Linked DNA regions of Notamacropus eugenii. The protein of the gene in region 2 interacts with the protein of the main gene of each other region in a pairwise test. Links are inferred from orthologs where the notes say so. Each region holds a gene or a part of one and is shown on either strand. Other genes may lie near its edges.

Region 1 (7,109 bases), on a different chromosome or scaffold from region 2:
CAAACAAGTTGTCACACCTCTATTCTCTCCCCTCCTTCTAAACCATCATTCATACTACTGCTAGACTAAAGTCTTGTTGACTTATAAATCTGGTCACATTATATCTGTGTCCACAACTCATCACTGGTGCCTCTATTGCCTACCAATTAAAGGTCAGACTCCTTTGCCTGGCATTTGTTATGCTCTACAATCTGGTACTTTGCCTTTTTGCCCTTAACTCATATCACTCCCCTCCATGCACCTTACATTCCTGCCAAACTGAACAACTTTTCAGTGGTGTAACACTTCCTATTTTCTTGTTTCAATGCCTTTGCCTACACTGGTCCTTCTCTGGGATCTTACAGAAAATATTCTAAGTTATTTCTGATTTGCAAAACAGAATAAATAAATAAAATCTATTTGGGGGGAAGATTCCTGTGAGTTACCCTATGTTTTTAAGAACTTTGCTTTGATGATTCTGAAAGGTTTGGCTTTCTTAAATACATCAAAAACAATTAAAGTTTTTCTTAGCGATTCAAGTCCATCATTATAAACATCAATAAGGAGACACAGACATGGAGGTCCACTACCTGTTCATGCCTATCTCAAATGGCCCATATCATTACGCTTTTTGAGTTCTCAGGTCTGCTTTGCATGTTTTTTTCCACTTATTTTCTCACCATCCAAAAATTAGCAACAAGTTTTTGGAAACACAGATAACTAAACTTGTCAGAACTATATCTAAAACTATAAAGCTATAGCATAAAGAGACTTGAGCAGCTCTCTTATAAGTAGTCAAGAGCTTTCCTGCATAGACTTTATCAAACCTCTTTTAACCAATATGACATTTTGAGTCCACTTTACAAGCTCTTATCTAGGTTTCTGCTAGTCTTATCTAGTTCTTATCTAGGTTCTACTAGTTAAGGCTGCTGGAAAACAGACTGCTGAATAAGTACATTATAGCAGTATTTCAAACATATGTAATGTATATATATATATAACTAATCATCTAGAAGGCTGCATAAGATATTAAGAAAAATATGTTTCATTATTTCTTCTCGATGATCACAGTCATCAGACTTTGTGTTCTGTGGGGGTCAGCCAATGCTATCGCTATTATTAAACTCTCTTCTCAGAATAACATCAATCCAGCTGTGGCAGAATCATGATTTCTCACCATATGGAATACACCAAGAAAAGGAACTTCAAAGACTTTCATATTCACTTCATACTAAAAACCACAGCCATTATGCTAATATCAGGAGCTTGGGTAAAATGATCCCTAATGTCTCTTACAGCTCTAAAATTCTGCAAATCTAAGTAACAAAAACTTATACAGGGAGAAGTGGCAAATACAATCATTTCATGCCCTTTCTCATTAGGAAATAAAATATTTTGTTATACTATTAATATTATTGATGAAATTGACACCACCTCTTATTTCAGCAGCATTCTCAGATTTATCTTCGGCACTCTTTCTCAAAATATTACTACACCAAATACACACAAGGCTTAACTGAGCTAATCATATTTTCTTCAAACTTTAATATTTTATTTGATAAAAAACATATATATATGTATATAGACACACATACATATATATTATTATATACTTCACACTTAACAATATTCATTTTAGAGTCACTTTGGAAGCCAAATACTTATGACAGTATTAAGTTCTACCAACTCTTTTATTTTTTTAAGTAATAAAATGTCTAGATTTACCAGCCCAGTCTATTTCACAGGATTGTGGAGATTGAAAGACTAGATAAGAATGAGCTTTGAGAAGTTATAAGATCTAGCCAAACGTAAGTTGACATAACTACTATTGTACTATATGGATGTTGAAATTGTAGATTCACATGATTTTTGAACTCTTTACAAGAAGTCCTGGAGATCATGTAATATAAACTCTTCATTTTGTGAATGAGAAAATTCAGGCCTTGGGTGGTTAAGTGACTTCCCCAAGGTCATGCAGCCAGTTAGTGTCAAAACTGGGCTAAAAACCTAGGTCTCTTCACCTACTGAAAACGAACCATTTCTCTTTGGGCAACCATCCGTTGAGATGATACACAAGCGCATTTAGTTACATCCACTTCACTGAAATTTTATGGGGCTGACTGAATTGCTATCCCACGTGTAGCCCCATGGCTATGCACCGCCTGCCTCAGAGGAGCACTGATGCTCTTCCCCGACGGACTGAAGTTTGCCCACCTGGAATCCAAGGCTCCACATCATCCTGGGCAGAGTTCAGAGGAGAAAGCATCCCCCGGACTGTGGTCCACACACGTGCCCAAAATGACAAGTTTCCGGGCGCTCTTGGCAATCACACACACACGTAACACCACAACAAAGGAAAGCCCCCCAACACTCCCCCCACATCCCTTATTCGCTTCAGTCCACACCTGCGAAGACACAAAACCCACAGCGGATTCTGTCTGGCCACGTCTCCGGCGCTATTCCGGAGAAGCATCTATCCAAGCCTCCGCTACACCGGACACAGGCTCCCGGGGACACAAAGAGCTGGCACGTTCGGGGGCTCCGCAGCTGTGCGGGGTGCCACCGCTCCGGCTCCGCGAGTTATCCGGGCTTTTCCATGCCCGTCTCTCCCCCAGGGGTCAGAGCTACGCCTCTCCTAGAGCGGCCGAAGCTGGGGCGAAGCTGAGGGCTACCTGTGTCAGCCCGCTCGTGCCGGGCGGTCCAGGGGCAGGCGGCGCACGGCTGCCCTGTCAGAGGGCTGGCTTCTCACCGGGCTCGCCTCCTTCCGTGCCCGGACTCCGGCACGGAAGGATGCTCCGGGGCCCCTCGGGCGCCTCTCCCGGAGCGCCGCCTCCCGCCCCTTCTCGCGGCGTGCCCCTACCTGGTGGCTGGCTGTCAGCAAAGCGGCGGCTGCATGCCCTCCTCCCCGCTCTCACACGGCTCCCAGCGCCATGTTCCCAGTCTCCCTGGGAGCGCGGTGTGTAACTACTACAGGCAGGGCTGGGGAGAGGGGCGGGGGTGGGGAGCGGAGCGGAGCGGAGAGGCTGGGGAGCCAGAGCCTCCTACAGGGGACCCGAGCTACTCTCCGACTGAGCATGCCCAGTTCCGGCGCTGGCAGCCACGGAGGGGTTTTCTCTCTGCCAAGTCCACTTCTCCGCGTTTTAGTTGCAGCCCAAAGGACAGGCAGGAGCTGGCAGAGGGGCTGGCCCCGCGTGGGGAGCTGGGGGTGGCTCCACGAGGACCGGACTGAGCCCGGAATGAGCTGGGACCGGAGAGGACGACGGTGGCAATGGCCCGGGAGAAGGCATCTCTGCTGCCTGAACTGACTTTATCCTGGCAGCCACCCCCAAGCCTAGGCATTCCGACCGTCTACAGCTTAGCGACCCAAGTGAGAGCTGGGAGGGCTGGAGGGAGGGCAGCAATTTGCAAAGGCCGGCCTGAGGGCACCGTGAGAGAATTCGGACTTGTCACACTTGCCAAGAAAATAGATACATTGTTGACGATTACAAGTCAGTCCTGCGCTCCGCTCCTAGCATGGACCCCCTAGTGATTAGAACTGGCTTGGGGGTTTCCCACCTCCCATAAAACCCACCCTCGTGGTGGTTAATTGTAGCTCTGGGTGCCACACTACATCCATCCCATATGAGCCTATATGCAACTATTCCTAAAGTTTCCCTTGGGAACAGCTGCACCTTCCTTAAAACGAATGTCTCCAGGGACTTCTTTATGTTTTTGGATCAATGACTTGTCATACCAATAAAACCTGACCCGGATTCCAGTGGGCACCTTCCTTTGCAATCTGAGGAAAGCTAGATCAATAGTTGGTAAGGGATAAATTCCGAAGCCTCTTTCCACTGATCTGGGTGACCACACCCCCTAGATGCTTTCTCACCCCTTGCCCTTCGGCTGGAGCGGGGAGGGCGGTGGTAGTCGCTATCTCTTACAACCTATTCCACAGTCTCTTTGCCAGCCTTCTCCTTGCAGTAGCTAAAACCTGGATCCGAAAGTCAAATATTCAGTGCTCCAATAATGTGTCTGAGCATGCTCAGTAAGGAAGACTAACAGGTTCTGGGTTTAAGAGTAGAAAGCGATTGCATTCAAGGATAGCAGGCTTTTCAGCAGAATTACACCCAAGTTCCAGCTGGCAAAGAGAAAGATGGATATTCATATTCTCTTCCTGCCATTAAAAAAGTACACTTTCCCAAGGGCTGCCTTCTCAGCACCCCAGACTGATTTCTTCTAGGAATTTTCACAACCCACATTGCACAGAGATGGAACTTAATATCAGAGATACTGAGTTTTCCCATTATGGGTAATTCGGCTGCACTTGGAAGGCCCTTCTTGCGGATTTAAAAAAATAATACACGTCTCTTTGAGGCTTAGGAGATGGAATTCATTTTCCTTCTTAAGGAATGAAAAAGCAGCTGTTCTCTGAAGGGTTTTTCATTTAGTTTGTTTAGTAGGAAAAAGATCTTAACTATATCTAGCCCATCCATCGTCTTTTAGACAACATCAGAAGTCTAGAGAAGTTGCCCAAGATCAAACCAGCAAGCGGAGAGAGGATTTGAACCCAGATAAAATTATAGTCCCAAATCCCATCTTCTTTATTCTCCAAGTATTTGGTAAATGGACATATCTTGAACAGTCTGCAAAACAAAGATTTGCATATGCAGTACCCACATTATGCTCTGTATCTTCTCATAGCTAAATAGATAATGGCAAAGCAGTTATCCTTCTCCTGCTCTCTGATTTTTCATTTACTCAAAGCTCATAAAGCAGTAAGTGCCATACAACAGCACAGATCCTTGCTAAGAAAAGATTTATTTTCCTCCCTCCCCCTTCTTAAATATTCCTCTTTAAAACAGAGAAATGTCATGATTCCTTTTATTTTAGATGAGAGAACAGAGAACGTATTTCTGGAAGCTATCTAGTCTCACATAGCATTATAGGATTGTAGAACACAAGACATCTTAAAAATCATCTTTACAAACAAGGGAACTGATGCACAAATACTGAGATCAAGAGATTTGCCCAAAGTTAGTAAACTAGTCAGAAGTGGAGTCAAGATTCCAACCCATGTTTCTAATACTAAATTCGATACTATATCAAATTGACTAAAGTGATGAAATTAGAGTAAGGAAAACCTGAGTTCAAAATTCTGCCCCAGACAATGGGCAAATCACCCAGCCTCAGCTTCTTAATCTGCAGATGAGGGAGTTGGATTCAATAGCCTCCAAGATGCCTTGCAGTTTTGAATCTCTGATTTTGTAATTGTATAGGTTAGACTACTACTTCTAAACTACCTTTTTTCCCATTTAGTTGAAAGTTAAGTATTTCCTCCTTTTTACCTTCATTCCCTCCTCTCTCTCTTCCTCCCCCCGCCCCCACCCCAGACACCTGGGAGTGGCCTGAAGCTGAATTTTTAGTAAACAGGAGAAATTTTTTTTGATACATTAAAAAAATTTGAAATATAATAAAAACTTGAGAATTTGTACTTTTTTCTTGAAAGTAACAAAAAGAATTGCCCATTCCTGCAGATTAAATACTATTCCTTTAATACTTCAAAGTTCTATGGTCTTATTGATCTGAGAACTCCCTTCACCAATGATGCTCACAAGCTTTCCATGACTTTCTGGAAGTTTTCATTAGTTGCTCTGTACCCTAAAATATTGCCATCTAGGAGCCAACTCTCTACCGAAGAACCTCTCTGAACTGGGATAGTCTAGTTGTTGAATAACAGATCTCCAATCTGCTGCTGTCCCCATAGTCTTAGCATTTCCATCTTGCCAAACAGAGCTGTTCTCTGCTGGCATAATATTTTAGAACTCATCATTGCTTCCATATCACCAACATGAATCAGAAGAAGATTTTATAGAGGAAATACTCTTCCTATACTATCATATGGTACTGATTTAATCTAGGCAGCTATGTGCTGCAATAGATAAAATACTGGACCTGGAATCAGGAAGACCTGAGTTTTCAAATAAGTCTCAGAAACTTACTAGCTTTTGACCTGGGCAGGTCACTTGACTTCTGTCTGCCTCAGTTTCCTCAACTGTAAAATGAGGATAATAATAGCACCTACCTTTCAAGGTGGTGGTAAGGATCAAATGAGATAATATTTGCAAAATTAATGGCACATAATAGGTACTTAATAAACATTTGTTTCCTTCCTAGGCCAGGGGTTCTTAACCTTTTTTTGTGCCATGGCCCCTTTGTCAGTTGAATGAAGCCTAAGGACCCTGTCTCAAAATAATGTTTTGAAGTACTTAAAATACAAAAGATTACAAATAAAACCAATTATATTAAAATAGAACTTAATTAAATTAGTACCAAATATAGACTAAACCAAGACAACCCCACTAATAAAGCATTAGGGTGCGTAGTCTTCTGTAGCCCCTCCAACATTTGTTATTTTTTCCTTTTCAGCTATGCCAATCTGGTGGTTGGAGGTAGCACCTCAAAGTTGCTTTAATTTGCCTCTCTCTAGGTGTTAATGATTTAGAGCATTTTTTTTTCCCATATGTGCCCTCTTCTTTCATCTGATACTGTCACCATTCTGGTGAAGGTCCTCACCTCACACCTGGACTATAGCAATAACTTACTGATTGGTCTTCCTGCCTCAACTATCTCATTTCAGTTCATCCTCTACTCAGCTGGCAAAGTGATTTTCATAAAGTTGAGCTAGCCATGTCACCTCCCACTCCCATTCAATAAACTCCAGTGGCTCCCTACCATCTCTAGGGTCAACTAAAAAATCCTCTGTCATTCAAAACCCTTCACAACCTGCTGCCTTGCTATCTCTCCAGTCTCCTTATACTTAATCCCCTCTAGGTACTTTGTGAATCAGTGACACTAGCCTGTTTGCCTTTCCTCCCACAAGATACTTCATCTCCCATTGTTTTGCTGTTTTTGAGTCATGTCTGACTTTTTTTGATCCAATTTGAGGTTTTCTTGGCAAAGATACTAGAGTGGTTTGCTATTTCTTTCTCATTTTACAGATGATCAAACTGAGGCAAACAAGTTTAAGTGATTTGCCAGGGTCACACAGCTAGTAAATGTCTTAAGGCAGGATTTGAACTCAGGGCTTCCTGATTCCAGGCCCAGAACTATCTTTTGTGCCATCAAGCTGCCCCTTTTCTATTTCTTAA
Region 2 (7,392 bases):
GGAAAGGATATGTGCAAAGCTGAGAGAGCTCTGGGGGAAACAGGTTCCTGTTCTCCAGAATGTTCCTCCCCTCTGTCCTGGGCATCTCTATTCCCCCCATTTCCCTCCTCCCTCCCCCCCAGCTCATGTTTCCTTTGGCCCAGCATCTGAAGCTCCCCTTGGCCATTCAATACTATATGTGAGAGTGGTCAGTGCAGGTGGGGAGTGTGGCAGGACATCCGTCTGGGAGTGTTCAAGACCCTTTCCTTCCTCCCTGGCCTGGCCTCCAGCTCCTGAAACAAGGGGTTTCCCCTCCTAAGTCGTGGAAGGGGGAAGTCAGAGAATAATAAGACTTAGCTGGCATTCATAAAGCACTTAGCCTAGATTATTTTATTAAGTTCTCACTATCCCCATGAGGCAGCAACAAGAGACGTTATTATCCATAGCTGCCAATGACAGGACTTGAACCCAGGTCTACCGGACTTCTGGACCAACAATCCATCTAGCACACACTACAAAGCCCATCTGGTCTTCCTGGTGCAGCTAGAGTAACTGAGTTTTGTGGATGAGATTTAGAATCCCTTCAGGCCACTCTCTTCAATCCCCCCCTCCCCTGCCCCAATTTATACCCTCCATTTCCTTTCCAGGAGCTTCCTGCCCCTCAAATTTAGGTACTAGTCAGAAAAAGGTTGGGGGGGGGGGGCAAGAAGTCACCAGAATGCAGAGTCCTGTGTACTGGATTCCCTCTTCCCCCAAGGTACAACAGCTACAATCGAAAGGAGAATCTCAACGCTCTGAGATCTACACAGAGCCATTTAGTCCCTTAACTCCTGGAATCCTGTCTGAATGGCCAGGGGCAGGATCTTAAGATATTGATTTTTTTATGCCCAGGAGTGGGCAGGCTTTGAGTTTCCCCAGTGCAGTGGTGCTGGTGGCCCAAGTGGGTAACAAAGATCAGAGAATCTCCATCCCTTCCTAGGCATTAGTTGAAGTCCGGGACGCTTCCCCCTAAGAGGGAGTGCCTTCCGTGTGGTTCTCCCTTCTTAAATTTCTCAGAGCACTTAGTCTAACTCTCCCTTGTTCCTATCACATTCTCTCTAGTAGGAGGCTTAATTTTGTTTCCATTGAGTCAGATCCCCCATAGCAGATTGTAAATTCCAGCCAGGTAGGGACAGTGGCCGTAGTAATTGTCGTTCTTGTATTCTTGGAATCTAGCACAGTAGTCATTTGGTAATAAATATTTGGTGAATTGAATTGAACTGAATTGTTATATTCTATAGCCAAGAATGGAGCTCCTGTCTAGGAACAAAAATGTAGAAAGGGCTCCCTGATCAGTCTATCCAGCATGAGAATTAAGAGGAAGCCCAGGTATTCCCTCAGGTTCAGCCTCCTTAGCTCCAGTGGAAAAGACACTATAGAACCCCAGACTGCAGGGTTACCCAGACATCTTTCTCCCTCCCTCCTTCCTTTCTGACACACCTGGTATCATGTCTCTGAGCCCTACAGGAATCATTGGCTCCAAGAGACTGCCAATACTGAATTCTCAGGGGAGAGGAGAGATCTGGAAATGTTTCAGCCAAGCTGGCCAAAAGGCAGAGAACATTAACAGGGTTGGGGTCTAGGTTCCCTTTTCTTCCTCTATCACTGAGGGCCAGATACTCCCAGTTCCCTAAATGTTCATGTAAATAAAGTTTCCCATTATTCCCACTAACTGCTCCACAGTTTGGAAGGGCATACATATGTGAGGACATTTATTTCCCCACAGGCTAGCACAGAATCTGCCCTGCACCCCACCCCTCAGCTGTGACTAGGACTACAACCTTCCCTCTCTGCCCCCTCCCCCTTTCCTCCCCTTCCACAGATTCCAAGAGTTGGTGGGTTTGTTGACAGAATACTCAGGGGGAGAAATTTAACACACTTTCTCTCTCTCTCTGTCTGTTTGTCTCTCTCTCCCTACCTCCTTCCTTCCCTCCCCCTTACCACTACTAGCTGCTTGGCACCAGAGCTAAATTCTCTTTCTTTCCCCCCCTCCCCACCATGGGGGCTTAGAAGGACAAAGCTGCTTGCGAAAGGAAAAGGTTGGGTACAAAGGGATGGAGAGATGAAACTCCCATGGGCCCAGGGACAGCCAGTTCATTCAGTCTTTGTCCCCTGGGGCTGAGGCACTGGAACAGAGATCTGAATTGGAAGATAAAAGTTTGGAGCTCGCCAGGTAAGTGTCTCACTCTGAGCCTCTGTGTGTCTGTTTCTCTTTCCCTGATGCCTCCTCCATCTTTGTCTCTCAATCGTGTCTCAGTCTCTCAGTGTCTCCGAATTTCTGTCTTTTTCTTCTCCAACTTGGCTCCCAACAACAGTCCCACACCCAGTGGGACAGCGGGAGTCTCCGCCCGGCCTCCCTCCCTCATCCCCTAAGGGAGAACCTGGCCAGGACCAGAAACTAGCCGGCCGGTTCCCCGCGGGAGGGCACGGACAGCGGCCTTTGGGGAAGGGCGGGGAAGAGGGAGATGTCAGTGGGGTTTCGGCAGCGGGAAGCTCATTCCCATCCCCGGCCTCGACTATGCAGCACAGCTCAGCACGGTCTCCCGGGCTCTGGGGGCGCTCGGAAGCTGGGACCCTGAACAAGCAGGCAGGCAAGCCAGCCAGGGACAGGCGGAGAAACAGCTGCCGTTAACTCTTTGTGTGCCAGCCGGGAACTCCTCTCTGCTCCCCGCGCCCCCGACTCCCGCCACACCTTCCTGCCCCAGCAGGAGGGGACTGACAGACCTGGGACGTGGGGCTGGGGGCACATTCAAGGGTAGAGTCCAGCCAGCAGGCTTGATGGGGTGGAGGAGGGGGCGCAGCCGCTGAGGGGGCCGAGGGCGGGGTGCGGGGGCAGGATCCTGGTTGGCCGAGTCTTTCTGTCCGCCGCCGTGCTCGGGGCGGTGGCTCTTACCTGGGGGGCCGGGGCTGGACGCGCGGCTCGGACGACTCCTGTCCAGAGACTGTGTGGGCGACTCTGAGCACTACGTCCCTAACCCCTCCCGGAGGAAGTGAGGGCGGGAGCCCGCCCAGCCCAGCCCGGACCCCGCCCCCGGCCCCCCTCCCCCCAACTCGGCCCAGTGCCTCTCGGACCCACCCCCCCTCCTGGTTAGTCTCCCCGCCACAACCTGGGGCCCGCCCCCTCGACCAGAGCCTCTCCGCGAGTCCCCTTCCCCAAGCTTGGCCTATCTGTGCTGGTCCTCAGCCTAGGGCTTTGCACGTAGTAGGCATTTTGAATTGAAAGCCTTCCCGGGGCTCTTCTGAGCCCGTGGCTCTGGCCTCCCTGGCTGAGGATTAGGGCGTATTATCAGGTGGGGTCTCGAACTTCAGAATGAATATAGAATTTTGTTAATCTAGCCCAATCCCTTCATTTTGCATTTTGAGAAACTGAGGCCCACAGGGTGTAAGTGACTTGCCTAAATCACATAGATGGTATATAGCAAGGCTAGGATTTAAACTATCAGCTCAGGGATTTCAAGCTGGTAGGGCATCTTGTCCAAACCCTTCATTTGACACATCAAGAAACTGAGGCCCAGAGGGATTTGCCCAGGGTCACACAAGTGACAATGAAAGTGGCAGAACCAGAATTTGAAGCCAGGAAATAGGATTCTAAGTCTTGCCCATTTCCCACTATACAAGTTCCTCTGACTCACTCACTATCCACTGATCTCTCCCCTTTTATTTGGTGGAATCTTTCTAGCCCCTACTCCAAGAATCTGAGTATGGCCTCAAGGAGTTCCTACCTATGGGTGGGGTGGAAGTGTCTTTTGTTCCTAGATCCCTAGCCCACTATGACTACGGAGCACAAATTGGATCCCACAGCTTGGGATAAGGAGCTCAGTTGGGGTTAGCTTAGCTGTAGCCCAGGCAAAGGTAGGGGCATGGTCTCTCAGGTCCTAGGACTGTTAGATTTAAGGCTGGAAGGGCATTTAGAGAGCAGTTAGTCATGGTATCATAGACCTAGAAGTGGAAGAGACCTCTGAGGCTATCTATTGTGACCTCCTTATTGTACATGTGGGGAATCTGAGGCCTAGAGACTCTTCTAAGGTCATCTTTGGGGGAATTTGAACCCAGGCCTCTGACTGCAGTTAGTGGTTTTTCCATTGTACCCAAGTATGTCATAACTTTCCTGTTTAACAGAAAAAAGCAGGTTGAGAGAACAAATGGACTCCCCCAAAGTTACATGGGTAACTTTCTCCTTAGCTGACTTGAGAGATGGAGGACATACTCCTCCTATTCATAGTGGTGACAGCAGGAAGGAGAACTCCTGCCGATGGATCTGTGACCTTCCAGAGTTCTTTATTTAAAAGTTATGAGTGCTGGAGTACTTGTGTGTAAGTGAGGAGGGAGGGGTAGTAGAAGGGAGGGAGACGCCTTCTTTCTCCAACCTACCCTCAGGCCCCATCTCTGACACCAAAAATATCCTGACTCTACTGCCTCTGTTTCCCCAGTGTTCAGAAATAACCATGACCTTTGAGGCCCTGGGGAGAGCCTGATGATCCTTGATCCCTTGAGCCCAGTACTTTTAGAGAAGAGAGAAAGGCCAGTGGCTGGGGGTGGGGGTGTTAGGGCTTTTTTTTGCTCCAACCTTCTCCTGTGCCATAGGAGGCTGGGTGACTGCCTGCCTGTTGCCAGTGACACCCTGTCCCCTCCAATGCTTTGATACACCCCCACCAAGGGACGATGGGGCTTGTCACCAGAAATAAATAGCCCCTGAGTGACTGGGGGAGGGAAAGCGGGGGAAGTGAGGAGGCACTGCTGGGGCTGTTTGCAAAATAGAGACAACAAACTGATCCTAGAAATAACCTTCCAGATAAACTGGCTCCAGGGACAATTAAGAACAGAAATTCAAATCCTAGGAGAGCCTCTCCAGCCCCCACCCCATTAGGTTTCTTTCCATTCTGAGGCTCTCGGCCTCTAATTCTGCTTCTTTTCTTAAGACCCAAGGGATTCTGATCAGTGCTAAATTTATTCTGAGCCCTGTGGTGAAGGAAAGCATGGCCTGTGAGTCTTTTCATGTGGTCGTAGGGCAGATCCTTTCCAGTGTCTGTGCCCCAATTTCTTCATCTGCAAAATGAGGGGTTGGCCTAGATGGTCTAAGTTTCCTTTCAACTGGAATGATCCATGAGGAGGCATCAATACTGGAATGCTGGAGGTCTGAGCTTTTGGCCACTATCTTGTGGTCTGGTCTACTGGGGAGAGTCCGATCACTTAGAGGGAGGGGATTCTGCCCTGGGGAGGGAAGGGATCCCTGGGCAGAAGGGGAGCACTGAAGACTGGAATGGATTCTAGGATCCTGGTCCTTTTAGGGAAGAAGGTAATGGAGAAGAAACTAAAAGTTCATGGCTGAATGAAGGAAGTTGAGATCTTTGCCTTTCTCCATCTTTTGTTAAGGGGTTCAGTTGTTGCAGCGCTGGGAGCTTAGGGAATGGAATGGCAGGAAGAAATGGAAGAAATTCAGAGAACATCAGACCCGGGCCTCAGACCACAGAATGTTAGAGTGGTAAGGAACCTTAAAATATAGGTCAGAACTCGAAGGCAGCTCAAAGACCATGTAGAAGGATCACTCATTTCACAGATAGGGAAACCTAGGCTTCTTTTGGAACAAGAGGCAGAGCCAGGGCTAGAACCCAGGTCTTCCAGCTTGGAAGGTCTTCCTTCCAAGGTATTCCTGCTGGAAGGGACCCTAGAGGCCATCTCATTTAATTGCCTTAACAGATGGGGAAACTGAGGCCAAGCGACTTGCTTAAGGGTACATAGGTAATAACGATAATGGAATTTGCACCTGGGCCCTTTGACTCCAAATACAACACTAGTTCCACTGTACCAGCATTACACAAGTATTACCTCAAAAATTCTGTGCTCTGCACTGGGGGAGCCACCAAGATTAAAAAAAAAAAATGGTCCCTGTCCTCAAGAAGCTTACAATGGGTAGGGAAATGAGACCTGTACTCAAACCACCACAATTCAAAATAGCACATAAGAGCACAAGAGAGGTAACAATGTAACAAGAGAATTTGGAGGCAGCAGAGATCACTTTCAGCTAGCAGAGGGACTTTTCAGCCAGGGAACTTTGAGTCTTAAGGCCAGGTATGTCTTAGGACAGTGGGATTTAGAACAGGGATGGGGAACCTGCAGCCTTGAGGCTTCTGGGTCCTCAAGTGTGATCCTTTGACTGCTTTGGATTCAGTCAAGGGATCACACTTGAGTACCTAGAGGGCCACCGGTGGCCTCAAGGCTGCAGGTTTCCCTGATTTAGAATTTAAATGGACCTTAGGGCCCTAGTGTAATCACCTAATTTTGCAGTCAATCAGTCAATAAATGTTTATTGAGCACCTACTCTTTGCTTAGCACCAGAGATGTGAAGGAAGGTAAAAGAAAGTCCCTGCCCTCAAGGAACTCACAGCTTAATGGGGGGGAGACAACATGCAAACACTAACGTACAAACAAATTATATACAGGGTAAATCGGGTCTAATTAACAGAGGGAGGGAGCCAGCATTAAGGGGGACTAGGAAAGACTTGCTGGGGGGGGGGGGAAGGGAGGAGGAATTTTAGCTGGAACTTGAAGGAAGCCAGAGAATCCAGGAGGCTGAGAGGAGGTGGGAGAGACTTCCAGGTGAGAAAAAGTGGGCTGGAGGTAGGATTTGGCCAAGGTCACAGAAGTAGTAAACAGTAGGGCTGGTAGTAAAAGCAATTAGCTGTTACTCCCTGGAGTAGGCTGCCAAATTGGCTGTGTCTTTTTGCCTCCCTCCACAACCCAAGGTCCCCACGTGACCTGTCCCTGGCTTTTTTGGCCTGGGGGGTATGCCACCAGGGGACCCTGTGGGGTTTAGGCCACTTGGACTTTCTGTTCTCTCCTTCACCCCACCCTAGAGGCTCCATGGAACAGGTGCACTGGAGAAGCTGGCAATCAGGCAGCTGCCCCTGATCCACGCTTGCGAGCACGTGAAGGGCAGTGGGGGCAGAGGGAGGAGGAGTAATGTGCAGTAGGGGTTAGGAGGGGTCGGTCCCTGCAGATGCATTCCCTTTGTCCAGGCTGGACTTGGCATGGCTGAATAGGAAGGAACTTGGTTGCCCTGTGGTAGTGTAACCACTAAATATAAAAAAATGCTAATGCAATGAAAACAGCCTTCCTTTTCTTCCCTGTACTATTTCTCTACTCCAACCCCTCCTTTCTCCCCTATCAAGAGAACTTCCTTCCTTCACAGGCTTAATTAGTCATCTTTGCTTTGGGGTGCTCCCTGCAGCTGGAGGTGTGTGTGTGTGTGGGGCCGCCTGCAGCTTGTGCTAGGTCCTGGTGTGTGTGTCTGTGTGTGTGTGTCTGTGTGTCGAGGTGTCCAAAGGCACTCTCTCTGGTCTACAGTTGCTCAGTACTCACATACCTTTAATTTCC
Region 3 (7,184 bases), about 48 Mb from region 2:
TAAGTAGCAAGAACAGAAGCCCCAATCTTCCTTCTCAGTGTTTCCCCTTGGTCTCTGGGGTGAGCGGGCTTCTCCAGAACATCATCCCACCAAGTTCAGGTCTGAACGTGGCTACTAAGTGAATGTCAGTGGCCACTGAGCCAAATCCCAGCAGAGGCTGCACTCAGGACCTGGTGACTCAATCTCTTGACCTTTTGAGACTCACAAGATCATAGTCTCCTATCTCCTTTACCTATCATGGAGGAAAAATGACTGTGGTGAATTTTAGGCCCAAGTCTGTAGAACAGTCTTGAACTTAACATTATTTTATATCCATACCTTTCCTAGATGAGAGAGATCCAAACTGGCATAGTTCCTCCTGTGCCTTCTGAGATGCATATCTCTAACCTGAGACGATCTGAGGTAACATTTTGAGGACTCTTGAACAAGGAAACAATCATAATATGTTAAACATAGCTTGGGGTTAGTGTTCCCAAAACAGCCACTGTCCGTTTCCTTCCTTGATCACTCCTTAAGGACTGAAAAGCTTTTATCAATAATTCTTGAATGAAAAAAAAGAAAAAAAAGATATCACCTGTAAATGGCTGATGGCACCAGTCCCTTCAGGGGATGGGCCGGCAGCGATCTTACCTAGATGAGAGTTCAGTTTGGTTATCACCTTATATCCCTTTCCTGGGACCTTTGTCTTTGTTCTGTCACCTTTGATCCATTTCCTGGGACCTTTAGAGGGAAAAGATTTTTAGGCTGAAAAAACATTATTTCTTAATATTTTCAGTTGAACTAAAAAGGAACTTTTTAATACTCTTCCACAGAACTCAGACTTGTATTCCCTGATTCTAGGTCCACATTGTCTGGGTAAAGCCCTTGACACATCCCCTAACTGCATGGTAACACTTTTCTCGCTGAAACTAGTGGGCTGGAAGGCAGAAAGAAATTGAAAAAAGAAATGAGTTCAGCTAATTGATTTTAAATACATCCCCAGTTCTGGCTAGAAAGTTGTGGCCATTTGGAGAGGCTCCTTTTACCATGAGGTTAGCAGACTAGAACTAGTTATAGAATGTCTGCACATGCTCCAAAGTCCATGTGGAAATTAGCTGAGCATGCTGCACATGCTCGTAAAGACTGGGCCCTTTGGTCAGTCTCCCATTACACTCCCCCTTCACTCTTAAGTTTCATCCTGGTTCAGGGTGAGAGTCTCTGGATATATCAGGAAAAACAGGCTGGTTCTCTTAGACATCACAAAACATTCCTAAAAAGTAGAGCTGTCCAAAGTAGAATGGCTTACCTGAAGAAGTGCTGGGTTCCCCTGCCTTAGAGGTCTTTAACCAGAGCTTGGGCAACCACTTGTCAGATACGTTATAACAGGTATTCTTTTCATGATGGACTAGAGGACCATCAAATTCCCTCCTGACTCTCACATTTGGAGATTTTGTAAGAGCTTAAATTATTTGCCTTGAGGGCTAAGCAAATCAAACCTCTCAGACCCCAGGACCCTAGGCCCCAAAAGCATTGGCATTGCTTCTAGCGCAGTGCCCACAGTGATCATCCTAGGAAGCAACCCTGTGGAACTGAAGCCTGGCGGCTGCTCCTACAACCATTGAAAACTGCAAAGAAAATTCTTGCTATCCAAGGCCTTGACGTTGCCAAATCAGAACCTGAACTTTATCAAAAATGACATGAAAGAAGAGATATTACCATCTTCCTTAATTACCAACTTGCTGTTGCACCCTAAGGACCATGGGATCTTTCCATCTGACTTGCAGCTGAAACTTTCCATGTATGTTGTGTCCCCCCATTAGAATGGGAGAAAATATTTGTATCCTCAGTGCCTTGGACATCATAACTGTTTAATAAATACTTTAAAAAAATTCTTTCTCATTGATTGATTCAGTGTCACAGATAAAATAATGATTGATCCAGAATTCGAACCCAGCTCTTCTGACTCCAAATGCAATATTCTTTCCACTGTACCTTCCACTATTACCTTCACTTGAAATAATGCTGGAAAAATAGGGCCGGAGGCAAACTTTGAAGAGCCTTAAATGCCAAGCTGGAGATTTTGTGTCTTATCCTACAGGCAATGGGAAGACACCTCAGCCCTGTGATCCCCTTAAATTATCATCCTATATATCTTCTCTTTTCACAGCCACTCTTAAAGAAAATTGCTTTTGTTAATTTCCTTTACGTCATATTCTACTTACTTCTTGACCCTTTGCAAACTGACTTTCAGTGGATAGTGTTGTGGGCTTCAGAGCCACAAAGATTTGAATTAAGATTTAGCTGTATGGTCCTGGGCAAGTCATTTAACCTCTACCCCAGTGTCCTCAACTGTAAAACAGCAACTACTTGCAAGGTTGTTATGAAGATCAAATGTAATAATTGTAAAGCACTTAGCAGTGGCTGGCAGGCTTGGGCAGCGAGGTGGCACAGTGAAGAGAGTGCCAGGCCTGGAATCAGGAAGACTGGCCTCAGATAAGTCACTTAATTCTGTTTGCCTCAGTTTCCTCATCTGTAAAATGAGCTGGAGAAGGAAATGGCAAGCCACTACAGTATCTTTGCCACAAAAACCCCAAATGGGGTCACAGAAAGCCGGCATGACTGAACAACCACAGAAAATGCTCCCTCCCCCCCACTCAACTGAAACTTTTAAAAGTTCCCCATATTCTCCTAATTGTTAAATGCAATGGCTTTTTCTTATTCCTCATCCTTTTGGGCCCCTTAACAGCTTTTCTCACTGCTAACTAATCCTTCTTAGATATACTCTCTCCCAGAATTTTTTGAACACTGATCTTTCTTAATTCTCCCTATTTGGCTTCTCCTTTTTATCCCCCTTTCTGTATCATCATTCATGCCCTGTCCCCTGTAGAAGGATGTACCTACCCCAGAGCTTTTTCCTGAATCCCCTTGGCTTCCCACTCCACAAATTCTTCCATGGGGATCTCATCAGCTCTCATGGGTTTAGTAATCTCTCTGCATAATCTGCATATTCAGACCTGACTTTTCTCCTGTGTTCCAATCCCCCATAACTAACTACCTGCTTGATATCTCCATCTAGATGTCCCATAGACCTCTCAATCTCAATATATCCAAAACAGAATTCTTCATCTTTCCCCCCCTAAATTTGCTCCTTTTCCTCTATGCTTTGTTTCTCTGGAGGGAACCACTATCTTTCCAGTCATAAACTTTTAGGATGATAATCCTCACCTCTTCCCTCCCCCTCAATTCTCATATCCAGTTTCCAAGTCCTATGTATTCTACCTCCACAACATATCTCTCATCAGTCCTCTTCTCAACTCACAGTGCCACCACCCTAATTCAGATCCTCATCACCTCTAATCTGAACCATCACAATAGCATCCTAATTAGTCTCGCTGCCACCATCACCTCTCCAAACTTCCACACAGCTGTCAAATTTTCTAATTGATTTTTTTTCAGAATTTAAAGGCAGAGCATTTACATATATGCAAGCAGAATACAAAAAGAAGATTGCATATGAAAATATTAATTTACATAAAGGAAGCAAAATATCTTTTTTTAAAGGCTAAACATAGCTGACTATTATCATTTAATAATCACTTGCTTTTAAAAAAGTATGTAATAAATTCAACGTTACTTTTCAAAATTATCCTGCTTGTCTGTACTTGCTAATGAACTTCCTCCCATTATCTTTTGTGTATTAAAAATATTTCAGCAACACTCTTTTTTAGCATCATCATTGTTAATCCTCCTGCCCCACCCCATTCCACCATTTAAAAAGATGGGGAAGGAGAACCTTATACAACAAATAAACATAGTCAAGTAAAACATGTCCACGCAGTGATCATGTCCAAAAATATGTCTCTTTTTGAACCTTAAATTGATTATCTCTGTCAAGAGATGGTTAACATCCTCTGAATAAATGGTTTTCAGAGAGTCCAAAGATTCCCAGATTATCTTTCCGTAAGCGATTTTCTAGGCAAGTTGTTATTGATAAATTCATTTTCTAATTTTTTTCCAATCTTTTAATTTTGTTCTAATATTTCTTGCTGTCTTATGGAGTCATTGATATCCATTTAGTCTTTTCTGATTTTCAGAAGAGTCCATTACTTGGACTTTTCTTTTTTAATTCCTTCTATTCTTTTCTATCCTTCTAATTCATTCCTCTAGATCTTTTATTTTGCTTTTTAAAATATTTTGATTCATTTCTTCCAGGCATTTGTGTAGCCAGTGAAAGTGACAAAATAGAATAAGTGACTTTTTCTACTTGATGATCTATACTGGTGCTGACTTTTCAAATGCCCTAGACTTCTGGTGTTTTACACATTTCTGAGATAGAAAAAAGTCACTTATTCTATTGTGTCATTTTTACTGGCTGTCTCCTACACCTGGAATTCTCTCCCTCCTCACCTCTGCTTCCCAGCTTTCCTGGCTTCTTTCAAGTCTCAGCTAAAATCCCACCTTTTTTTGGCAAGAAACCTTTCCCAGTCCTCCTTAATTTTAGTGCCTTTTGTCCACGGTCAACAAAGGTTATCTCCATTTTATTCTGTTTATACCTTATTGGTACATAGTGCTTTCAGGTTATTTCGTGCATTGGGTTGTGAGATCCTCCAAAGCAGGAACTTTTTTTTTTTTTGCCTTTCTTTCTATCTCTACATTTAAGCGCCATATCTGGCACATAATGGGTCCTTGTCAGAGCACATGTGATGGGGGGGAGCCTTTGATCTCTACGATAATGAGTCATCTTTAGGTTCAGGCTAGGCTCTTCTTTCCTCTTGTATCCATTCCCTTCTCTTCCTATAAACACCTGCCTCACACTTCTTGCCTGGACTACTTGTGAGAGCCTCCCAATCCGTTAGAACTCCTGCTCCCTTCCTTCCCTAGATAGTTGGCCTCCTCCACACAAAGCACAAGTGGGGCCTCATCACTGCCCTGCTTGAGAACCTCCTGGGAGTCTTCATTGTTTTCACTTCTTCACAACCTGGTGCTCCCCTTGCCATGATTTTTGTTATAGCCAAACAAGCTATAACTCAGAATTCCATCTCTCACCTCCATGTTTTTGCTTCTGCTGTCCTCCATGCCTAGAATGCACTTCCTCCTTCCTTCTAATTTGTCTCTTGGAATGCTGAGCTTCCTTCAAGGCCCAGCTCCTGGGTGGTTTCCACCTCCTTTGGAGAGCCTGTTGTTCTGTTTCCCTCTTCATATTGTCGTGTGCTGTATATACTTTTCTCTTCACATGTTCTCTCCTCCCCCAGAGGATGTAAGCTCCTTGAAGTCAGGACTTCTTTTTGGTTTTGTCTTTGTATCCCTGTCACCTCAGCATTTACCACCCTTCTCATTTCTCCCCTTTATGTGTTGTGCACTCTTGAGGACACAGACTGTCTTGCTTGTATCTGTATCTCTCACAGATCCTAGAACCCAGTAATCACTTCATAAATGCTTTTTCATTGATTTATTCATGGGACGCTGGAGCCTCCTAGGGATATTATTATGGGATCCTTGATTTCCCAGTGGGCTTACAAGTATATCACTCTGGATGTTTGGGACTCTGCTGTCCCCACAGTGGACACTATTATTATAGAGTGTTTGTATTCAGTTGGCATTCGTGCTATTTTGAGGTGTCAGTGTCTCATGGGAGTGATTGTGGCATTTCTGGGTTCCTGCTGGACTTACAGCAGTATTATGATGGGGTGCCCTCTTGGGTTCCCTATGAGGTTTCCAGAGAGTTCACAGATGACTTAACTGTGGAATTGCTGAGTCCCCACTGAGCACCCAGGGCTGCTGTTGCACACCCCCTGCTATATGTATTCGTTCTTATGGTATCTATAGGATTCTTTTGGTCTCACATGGTTGTCACATTGTAGGTAAGGCCACCAGCTGTGTTTTTGTGGGATCTTCCCGGCCCCAGTAGGGGCTCAGGATCCTATCTGTGTTGTACCTCTGAGCTCCAGCTAGGTTATGGAAGTGGTGGTGTGGGTTATGTGGTTCCCATACTACCTAGGGTAGGTTTCCTTAGGCCTCATAGGTATATTGGTTTGTGTTCCTGCCAGCATTACAAGGTGTTATTATGGGATCTCTAAGCCTATGGTGGGCTCAGGGAGTAAAACTGGGTGATCTGTAGGTCCCTTCCTGAGCACTAGGGAGTTTTTTCATGGTTTCTCAACTAAATGAATAAATGTTGATTCTTGTCAGTCACTCTGTTTCTTGCCTTACCACATCCTATAATTCCTGGACCATATGCTGATGTCCCTTGTAAGGGATAAGCCTCTTCTGCTCTCATTTTAGCTCCCAGAGATTTACTCATACAATCACATCACTCCACACACCCTCATCTCAGATTCCTTCCTTCTGACAATTTCCTCCCACCAAGTTTTTAGCACCCCCTGTTAAGTGAAGACTTTTTTAAAGGGAGCCCCAATTTCCAGCTCTCAAAACCCTCTCGTGTCACTTGCCCTCTGTTCATCTACTCCTTTAGATTTCTATTTCTTTCCTTCCTTGCCCCAGCCTCTTTTTTCAAATTTTCTGATCGTTTCAGAATTTTTGTCTCCTTACAGCATCTCTCCAGTCTTTCCCGGAGTCCTCATTCCCTTCCCCTTGCTATGTCTTGTAGTCACCCCAAGTCTCGCTCCCGCAAGGAAGCTAACTCTGGAGAATCCAGGGGATCTTGGGGAATGGTATATGAGCTGATCATGGACAAGAATCCAAGAGCTCAAGGATGGAAACTGGAAGGCCATCCCCATAGGGTCCCTGGGTGGTAGAAGGGTGCCTAAAAAGGTACGACCTGTTTCTGGAATGGGGACTGAGGGTAGGCTTTGTGGTACCTCAGATCAGCATGCTTCAGTCTAGGGTGGATATATATTTACACCAAGGACTTTATAAGCAGAGAAAAGGTCTGGGCCACTTGCCTTTGACCAGGAATCTCATCATCTTTAATTAGCATCAGATCTCACCATCACCCTTCACTTCTCCTCCCCCAGCACTTTTATTTTCCTTCCCTTTGCCCAGCAATGGTTTATTTCCTGACTTGGCTCCCTAGGGCCTCCTCCCAGACACTCCCTCTTTCCATCTCCATCTTGGTGGGTAGGGAGCAAAAGCACTGGGGGAAATAGTTCACAAGTTTCCTTACTGCAGCCTCTGCGCTGCCCTCCTTTCCCCTGCCCCTGATAGCTCAGGCATTCAGCCAGATGTCTAGCGTCTGCTGATCCCCG
Region 4 (7,544 bases), on a different chromosome or scaffold from region 2:
CACATGATTCATCAGAAATCTAGTAAAGGGATTTCTTCTTAAATCTCAACTGCTACAAATATGTCAGAACTGAAACTAATTCTTAACTTCCTTATCTGTTTGAAGTAGTAAAAGGAATTGAAAGTTAATTATATTACATTTCTGGCTCTGAGTTTTAGGTATTTTCCCCTATAAACTGATTTCCCACCATGCTCATCTCTTTCTCAATCTATCACTCCTTTCTTTTAAATATTTCCCAACATTCTCTCACCCCTAACTTGGGAAATAAAAAGAAATGCCTCTATAGCAAATCTTCAGACTCACAATTCACTCCATTTTCTAACAAAGCACATCTTGATAAATCATGTCCATGGCCTTGCACAAACACAATTGCATGGCATATGAATTTTTTCCCCTACTTTGTTGTTCTCTGTTAATTATTTCATTCTGCTTTTTTAAAAAATGACAACAGCCAACTTATTCCCACCCTTTATTTCCACAGTCATCAAAAGTCCATCAGAAGTTAGTGCCGTTTGGGAAACCTGATGTCAAGGCTCCATGGAGACTTCTTATTAATTCTAGTGGGGTGAATGAACCAGAGGTTTAGCACTATGCCCTGTGACTCAGTTCTCTAAGCTAGCTCGTGCAGTGGACAGAGTTCTGGACTTGGAGTCAGTTAAGACTTGACTTCAAAATCTGTCTCACACCCTTACTAACACTGTGATCCCAGACAAATCATTTAATCTCTTCCTGTGAGTTTCCTCATGTGTAAAATGGAATTATAATAGCACCTACCTCCCAGGGTTGTCATGGGGATCAAATGAGATATTTGTAAAGTACTTTGCAAACCTTAAAGCATTATATAAATGCAAAGTGTTATTACTATTACTACTAATTATCATTAGAATCACAGAACACAGAGATGTTCAAGAAGCTGAGGAATGTAAGGGAAAGAGGCTCTATATTTCCCTATTTTAAAGATGAGGGAGGCAATGTGGTACAGTGGAAAGAATGACAGTCTTAGAGTCTAAGGACGTGGGACCTGAATTCCAACTCTGCCTTTTTACTACTGATGGGTTTTTTGTGCAAGTCAATTAACTTCTTTGGGCCTCAGTTTCCACATCTGTAAAATGAGGGAGTTTAGAATAGATGATCTGAAGTCCCTTCCTGCTCTAGATATATGAGCTTATGATCGCTTTGCTTAAAGTCACCAGGTTAGGAATCACAGAATTTTACAACTGGATATAGAAGGAAACTGAGGCCTACCAAGTCTATTTTCTGTGTAAATAAAGTCTTCCCTCCTCACATGAACCTCTCAGAATTTCCACCCTCCTTCAAAGCTCATCTCAAGTTTAACCTCATTCATATATTTCCTGATCCTTCCCACCACTATCAGAAATTACTACATGTGTGTATTTGCACTTAAGCTCAAGGGCAGCGGATGTTTAATTTTTACTTTTGTATCTCCAGAGAACAGCACATAGGCTCAAGTCTAGAGCTGGAAGGGGCATCAAAGGCTTTTTCAACCTCCTCATGTCACTGATGGGGAAAATAACACTCCAAGAAAAGAAAAGGCCTGCCCAATGTCACACAAAATAGGGTCCTCTGTTTCCTGAGTCAATGCTCTTCCCAATAGCAGGAATTTAATAAAAGCTTGTTGAATGTATGAAAGGTGAGAAAGGAAACCTGAATTCAAATCCAACTCTGCCATCACTTAGCACCTAAGTCACCTAACCTCTCCAGGCCTCAGTTTCTTCCCTTGTAAAATAAGATGTGTAGATGTTCCTTAAAGCTCTTTCTAGTGCTTGATTCCACTCTTGTGCCCAAGTTGCAATTAAGTAGCAAGATTCAAATCCCCTTCTAACTTCAAGACCAGGGCTCTTCCCACAATGTCAAAAAAAGCAAGTCTGGGCTGTCTCTTTACTGAAGGAGATGAACACGCACCCCACCTCCCCACCTCCCCACCTCCTGGGGGATCTCAGGTTCCTTCTTTATCCCACAAAAGTCCTGGAGAAAGCTCCCTGCTCCGAATTTCAGGGCAAGGTAGGCTTGGTCTAGGTAGCTCCTGCCCGAAACCTAAGGGAGGGATTAAAGTCAAAAAGCAAACCTTTCTCCTTTCTCTCTAAGGACAGCAGCAGCAGCAGCGGCAATAGAAACACACCCCAAGCTCCAAGCCAAAGGCAGCCTGCACCTAAGAGGCTCGCAGACAAGCTTCCCCTAGAGGCATCATCGGTGCCTTCCAGCAAGAGGGCGGCTCCGGCCTTTGTGAGCTGGGTCAAGGTTATGACCGCCCCAGACCTCGGCCTCTGGGTAGCCAGGTCGAGGCCCGGAGGCAGGCGCTGTTCTCGGTCATCCCCCTCCCCCCGGGCCTGCTGCACCTCCAGCACCGACCCCCTGGGGCTCCTCCGAGAGGTGGGGAGCCCGGGAAGCGGCAGGCCCTCATCTCGGCCCCACCCCAGGCTCAGGAGAGAACTCCGCCAAGTGGAAAGGAAGCCCCAAGACCCCGAGGGCGTCCCCAAGATGCAGAGACTCCCCCAAAGTTACAGACGGGCCCCCGAGGCCCCGGGGGAGCTCCCCAAGGCTACAGTGGGACTCCCTTAAAGTTGCAGAGGGAGCCCCTCATGGTCCAAGGGGAGCCCCCGAAGTCTATAGAGGAAGACCCCTCCCCTAGGCCCCAGGGCAGCCTCCCCGACCCCCGGTCTCCGGTGGGCAGCGGCTCCCGGCCCGGGCGTCGCTCGGTAGGTGTAACGGGAGTAACGGGCCCAGCTTCTCCCGCTCCCCCGACTCACTCCTCCCGGGGAGGGGGTCCCCCCTTCCCTCTGTCCCCCTCCCCCCTTTTCCCGGGGGGCCACTTCCGGTGGCCCGCGCTCACCTCGTAGCGAAACATCGTCGGGGGGGAGGGGGAAGGGAGAAGGGGGGGAGGAGGCGGAGCGGGAGGGGGATGGGGGAGGGAGGCGTGGGGAGGGGGGGAGACGCGTCCGACGCCCCGGGCTCCTCCGCGCGCGCCCGCCACTCCTCCGGCGGCTCGCGACCCCTAGCCGCCGCCGTACGCCTCTTGCGTGCCAGCGTGCGAAGGGGCGTGCGCAGGCGCGCTGCACCGTACCGCGGGGAATCCGAGGGCAAGGGGAGAGGAAGGGCCCTTCCCTGCTCGTGCGGCTGCGCGGGGACTTATCTGACGCTCGTTAGTCATTTGAGGACAGCGGCAAATAAGTCCCAGAGCTCAGTTCTGCCCCTGCGCGCGGCTGACCCCACCCCCGGCTGGCCTCGGGCTGTGTTCCCTGGTACTGGCGCTGGCTCCACGTCTGGGGCGTGGCGGGCACTCGGGTCACGAGGCATCTGTCCGCGGGGGAAGTCCTTGTGATTATCACCAGATAGTGGCCCGAGGGGCCGACTTGGAGGCCAGCATTCTTGCCCCCTTGACCTTGAGAGTCCTCGCCGGCCTCGGCCTGCCGGCGTCCGGGCCCGTAGACCCCCACACCCCATTCCTCCTCTCCCTAGCCCCGCCGCCCCTTCCATGAACGTTGTGTCAATCCATCAACAAACCCTGAGGCCCGCAGGTGTGACGGAGCCCGCGCTCTGGGCTGGGGACTGCCCCGAGGCTCGAGGACAACTCCCCCCGCCCTCGACTGCTTTACTTTCTAGCCCGTCCTAGGAAACGTCCGCGCGCTGAAGACCCCAAATTTACCGGAGAGTCACTAAATGGAGCAGGCGGGGTCCCGCCGTCCAACACCCTGCCCGCCCCTCGCCCCGGGCTTTCCCGCTTTGAACCGCGGCGAGGGTGGAGGTGGGGTGGGGGAGGTCATTGGCTTCTACTAGTCCGGGACTTCAGAGATCCAGGATTCCCGGGGCGGCTGCTCCCGGCGCCCACAGTGCCCACCGCGCGGGCAGGGAAGGGGCGGGGCGGTGCCCGTCTCATTCATTAAGCTCCTGGGGCGCCGCAGCACTTTGCCCTTTTTGGGGTCCTCAGAACTTAGCACAGGGCCTGACACACCGGGGCAGTTTAATAAATGCTTCCTCCCAACCGCGCTCCCTCCCTTCCTCTTTTCCTTCTTTTCTTTTTTCTCCTTCCTTCCTTCCTTCCTTCCTTCCTTCCTTCCTTCCTTCCTTCCTTCCTTCCTTCCTTCCTTCCCAGCCTCCCTCTCCTCCCCTCTTCTCTCCTACCCTCCCTTTCTCCCTTCTTTCTTCCCTTCCTCTCTTCCACCTTCCCTCCCTCTCTTCTGTTTTCACTTTAGGAGCAGGTAAGGCGCATAGATCACTAGATTTCTCAATGCTACATGATAACTGCATCAGAAAAGGTGTAAGATGACTGTTTTTCTGGCGCTAATAACAATTGCTAGCATTTATCTAGTGCTTTTAAAGTTTGCCAGTAATGTGCTCAGAGTCACACAGCAATGTGAGTGACACAGCTGGGACTAGCACCCAGCCCTCATGACTCTCAAGTCAGACCTCCTCCCACCGTACTGTGCTTCCAATGTATACGTATGTACTTGTGTGTATATATGTATCATTTGCTGACCTTGGTCAATGGGTCTATTTGTAAAAGGAGGGGGTTGTGGTACCAGATATCTAAGGTCCTTCCATCTCTAAATCCTATGGTTTTTTTGGCATGAAGGTTACCTCCTTGCTCTGCAGACTGTGCCAAGAATCTTAACGCCAGTCTGTATTTTAATAGTTTAAACTTCGATAAGACTTTTGGGACACAATATATAGATCTGGGGGCAACTAGGTAACACAGTAGATAGAATGCCTGGCCTGCAGGCAGGAAGATCTAAGTTCAAACCCAGCCTCAGACACTTACTAGCTGTGTGACCGTGGACAGGTCATTTAACCCTGTTTGTCTCAGTTTCCTCATCCATCAAATGAGCTGGAGAAGAAAATGGAGGACTGATGAGTTCAGGTTGCACCCCAAGAATCACCTGAAATGATGAGGAGTAGCTGTGTGGGTCCTATTGCCTTGAAAGAGTTCACTCAGTGTCCAAGTTAAAGAAATGCATTTATTGGGGTGATACTGTCAAACTCAGGGGAGGCAGAGCATAGGTGGCAAGTCCTACTCACCTAAGGTAGCAGAGCGGCCCTGCTCTTCATAGGAGGCAAAAGTGGTTATTGGGATTCGGTGTCTGGTTTAAGTATAATTTTATGGAATAGAGGAAAAGAGGACAAGGGAATGGGAGGAGCAAGCCATGCTCCAAAATGCCTGGGATATCAGATAGGCCTGAGGTGCTTTATCATACAGATAAGCAAAGACAATAGAGGAGGGAAAGGGAAGAGTTGTTCTGGAATTGGGGGTGCTTTGTGAAAGCACACAGGTAAATCCGTGGTGAGGGGCTTCAATGCCTAGTTTTCTTTGATCACTTTTTGGTCGATCGTACCCTGCATTTTATTTCATATCTCATATCCTGCATCCTGCTTGCTCCATCTACTTCTAGTACTCTTCTGCCTCATCAAAACCACTCCAGTATCCTTGCCAAGAAAGCTCCAAATGAAGTCACAAAGAGTCAGGCACAATTGAACAATATATAATTCTATATAGATCTGCAGACCATAGATCTCTATATCAATTTTCCTATATATGAACACTCATATAATATATACATACATATATAATAATTTTATATAGATATAATACACAAATGCATACATATGTGTATGCATACAAACCTGTTTGCGTGCTTCATTTTGTGCACTTAATTCTGTGCCTATAATTTCTAAAGTGTCCATTCAGCCTATATGCAACGTTCCCCTCCCATACCTCCTCACACATAGAATCATAGAATTTAAGTTGGATGCTTCACAGGAGCCAGCTAATCCAACATGGAAGGATCATAGGATCAAAGATTTCAAGCTAGGAGAGATCTGAGAGGCCACTGTGTCCACCTCACCTTCAGGTGAGGAAACCTAAACACAGATCAATCAACCCTCCTAGGATCACAGAGCCACTAAATGTCTGATGCAGGACCTGTACTCAGGTCCTCTCAGTTCCAAGTCTCATGCCCTATCCATTAAACCATTTTGCTTCTTGAAAAGTCCACTCTACTGTTCCTGAAAAGCCTTTGGTGAAAATATCTGATGAGAGGGAACTAAACACGTCCCAAGGAGGTAACTCATTTCACTTGGGGCCAACTGTTCTTGTTAGGACATTTTTCCTGACATTCCCTCAATTGACCACTGGCCCTTGCTCCTTATTCTGTTCTCTGGGCCCCAAACTGATCAAGTCTAATTGCTCTTCAAATGATTCTAAAGCCAATTCACAATCCTGAACAGTTCTGAAGGCAATTCTAGGATGGTCTAGCCTAAGTCTCTTAGTCTTCTCCATAAGAAGAACATGACACATTCTATCTAATGCTTTGTTAAAATCTAACAACTTTACCCACAGCCTTCCCTTGGTATCAGATGTTAAGTGGCCTTATCAAAAAAATAAAGAAGGAAATAATCGAAGTCATCCTAATGAAGTCATGCTGGCGCTTTGTAATAACTGCTTCCCTTTCTGGATGTTTGCTACCTCCCTTATGGCATCTAACTCCAACCTCCATTCAACCTCTACCCTTGTCATTCAATTTCATTCAACAAGAATGTTGCAAACACTATACCCAAGTACTGTGCTAGGGTTACAAAAAAATGAAACAGTTCCTTAGATTTTCTCATGAGAAACAATGTACCTAATACATAAGCTACACAAACTATCTACAAAGTAAATACAAGATTTTTTTTTCCCACAGGATAAACATACTTGTTTATACTAGGTACTGCTACAGGGAGGGAAGGAATCAAGAAAGGTTTCATGAAGGAGGTGGCACTTTGTCCTTCATTGCTGAAGAAGACCATGCCATCAGAGAAATAATGACATGACTTGCACTTGACTTTGTTTGGAGTGAGGGAGGGCTGTGCAGGTCACCAGCCTCACTTCTCCTCCACAGCCATCTGAATCCAGTGACCAGATATTCATCAGGATGACTGGAGATGTCCCAGGATGCAGTCAAAGGGCCACACTTGAGGACCAAGAGGGCCACATGTGACCTTGAAGGTACGGATTCCCCACCCCTCATCAATTCATCATATGCATGTATATGTATGTGTGTGTATGTGTGCGTAGTTTGCACATAGTTGTTTGCATGTTATGTCCCCTGTTAAAATGAGAACTCCTTGAGAGCTGGGACTGTTGTTGCCTTTTTTAGTAGCCTCTGGGATTCTTGGTACATAGTAAGTGCTTAATCAATGCTTGTTGACTTGTTGAAGTAAACAAAGATTTCTAAGAGGCAGAGGAGAGGTGAGGGGGAATTCAGGCAGGGGGTACCAGTCATGCAAAAGCATGGAGGTAGGGGATGGAATAAATGTAGTGAGTTCCCCATTATTGAGTATATATAGACAGAGGCTGAATGGCTATGTTATGTCAATGTTGTAAAAGTGTTTCCTGTTCAAGGACCAGTGAGACGAGATGTCCTTTAATCACTACCATATAACTTAGATACTTTTTCCCTCCCTCTTCCTCCTACCTCCCCCCTCCCTCTTTTAGGAGGCATACAATTTTACATAGGTTGTACACATACATTCCTATTAAATACATTTTC

The links.
Region 1: the proteins of FHL3 (region 2) and PAK5 interact in a two-hybrid assay, tested with the Homo sapiens proteins (2 studies listed by BioGRID and IntAct). The two-hybrid records come from large-scale screens. The link is inferred for Notamacropus eugenii from reciprocal best matches to the Homo sapiens genes FHL3 and PAK5.
Region 3: the proteins of FHL3 (region 2) and KIRREL2 interact in binary tests that used the Homo sapiens proteins (3 or more experiments, as listed by UniProt). The two-hybrid records come from large-scale screens. The link is inferred for Notamacropus eugenii from reciprocal best matches to the Homo sapiens genes FHL3 and KIRREL2.
Region 4: the proteins of FHL3 (region 2) and PATL1 interact in binary tests that used the Homo sapiens proteins (3 or more experiments, as listed by UniProt). The two-hybrid records come from large-scale screens. The link is inferred for Notamacropus eugenii from reciprocal best matches to the Homo sapiens genes FHL3 and PATL1.

The regions. Positions count from the first base shown.
Region 1 is NC_092872.1:582,972,826-582,979,934, forward strand, and holds the start of PAK5 (serine/threonine-protein kinase PAK 5), read right to left. Parts: upstream 3,011-7,109; 5' UTR 2,840-3,010; intron 1-2,839.
Region 2 is NC_092876.1:81,223,923-81,231,314, reverse strand, and holds the start of FHL3 (four and a half LIM domains protein 3), read right to left. Parts: upstream 3,017-7,392; 5' UTR 2,912-3,016; intron 2,192-2,911; exon of another isoform or gene 1,992-2,191; intron 1-1,991. UniProt on the Homo sapiens protein: Recruited by SOX15 to FOXK1 promoters where it acts as a transcriptional coactivator of FOXK1.
Region 3 is NC_092876.1:33,020,464-33,027,647, forward strand, and holds the start of KIRREL2 (kin of IRRE-like protein 2), read left to right. Parts: upstream 1-4,182; 5' UTR 4,183-7,184. UniProt on the Homo sapiens protein: May regulate basal insulin secretion.
Region 4 is NC_092873.1:5,566,605-5,574,148, forward strand, and holds the start of PATL1 (protein PAT1 homolog 1), read right to left. Parts: upstream 3,003-7,544; 5' UTR 2,867-3,002; coding exon 2,852-2,866; intron 2,271-2,851; exon of another isoform or gene 2,087-2,270; intron 1-2,086. UniProt on the Homo sapiens protein: RNA-binding protein involved in deadenylation-dependent decapping of mRNAs, leading to the degradation of mRNAs. Acts as a scaffold protein that connects deadenylation and decapping machinery.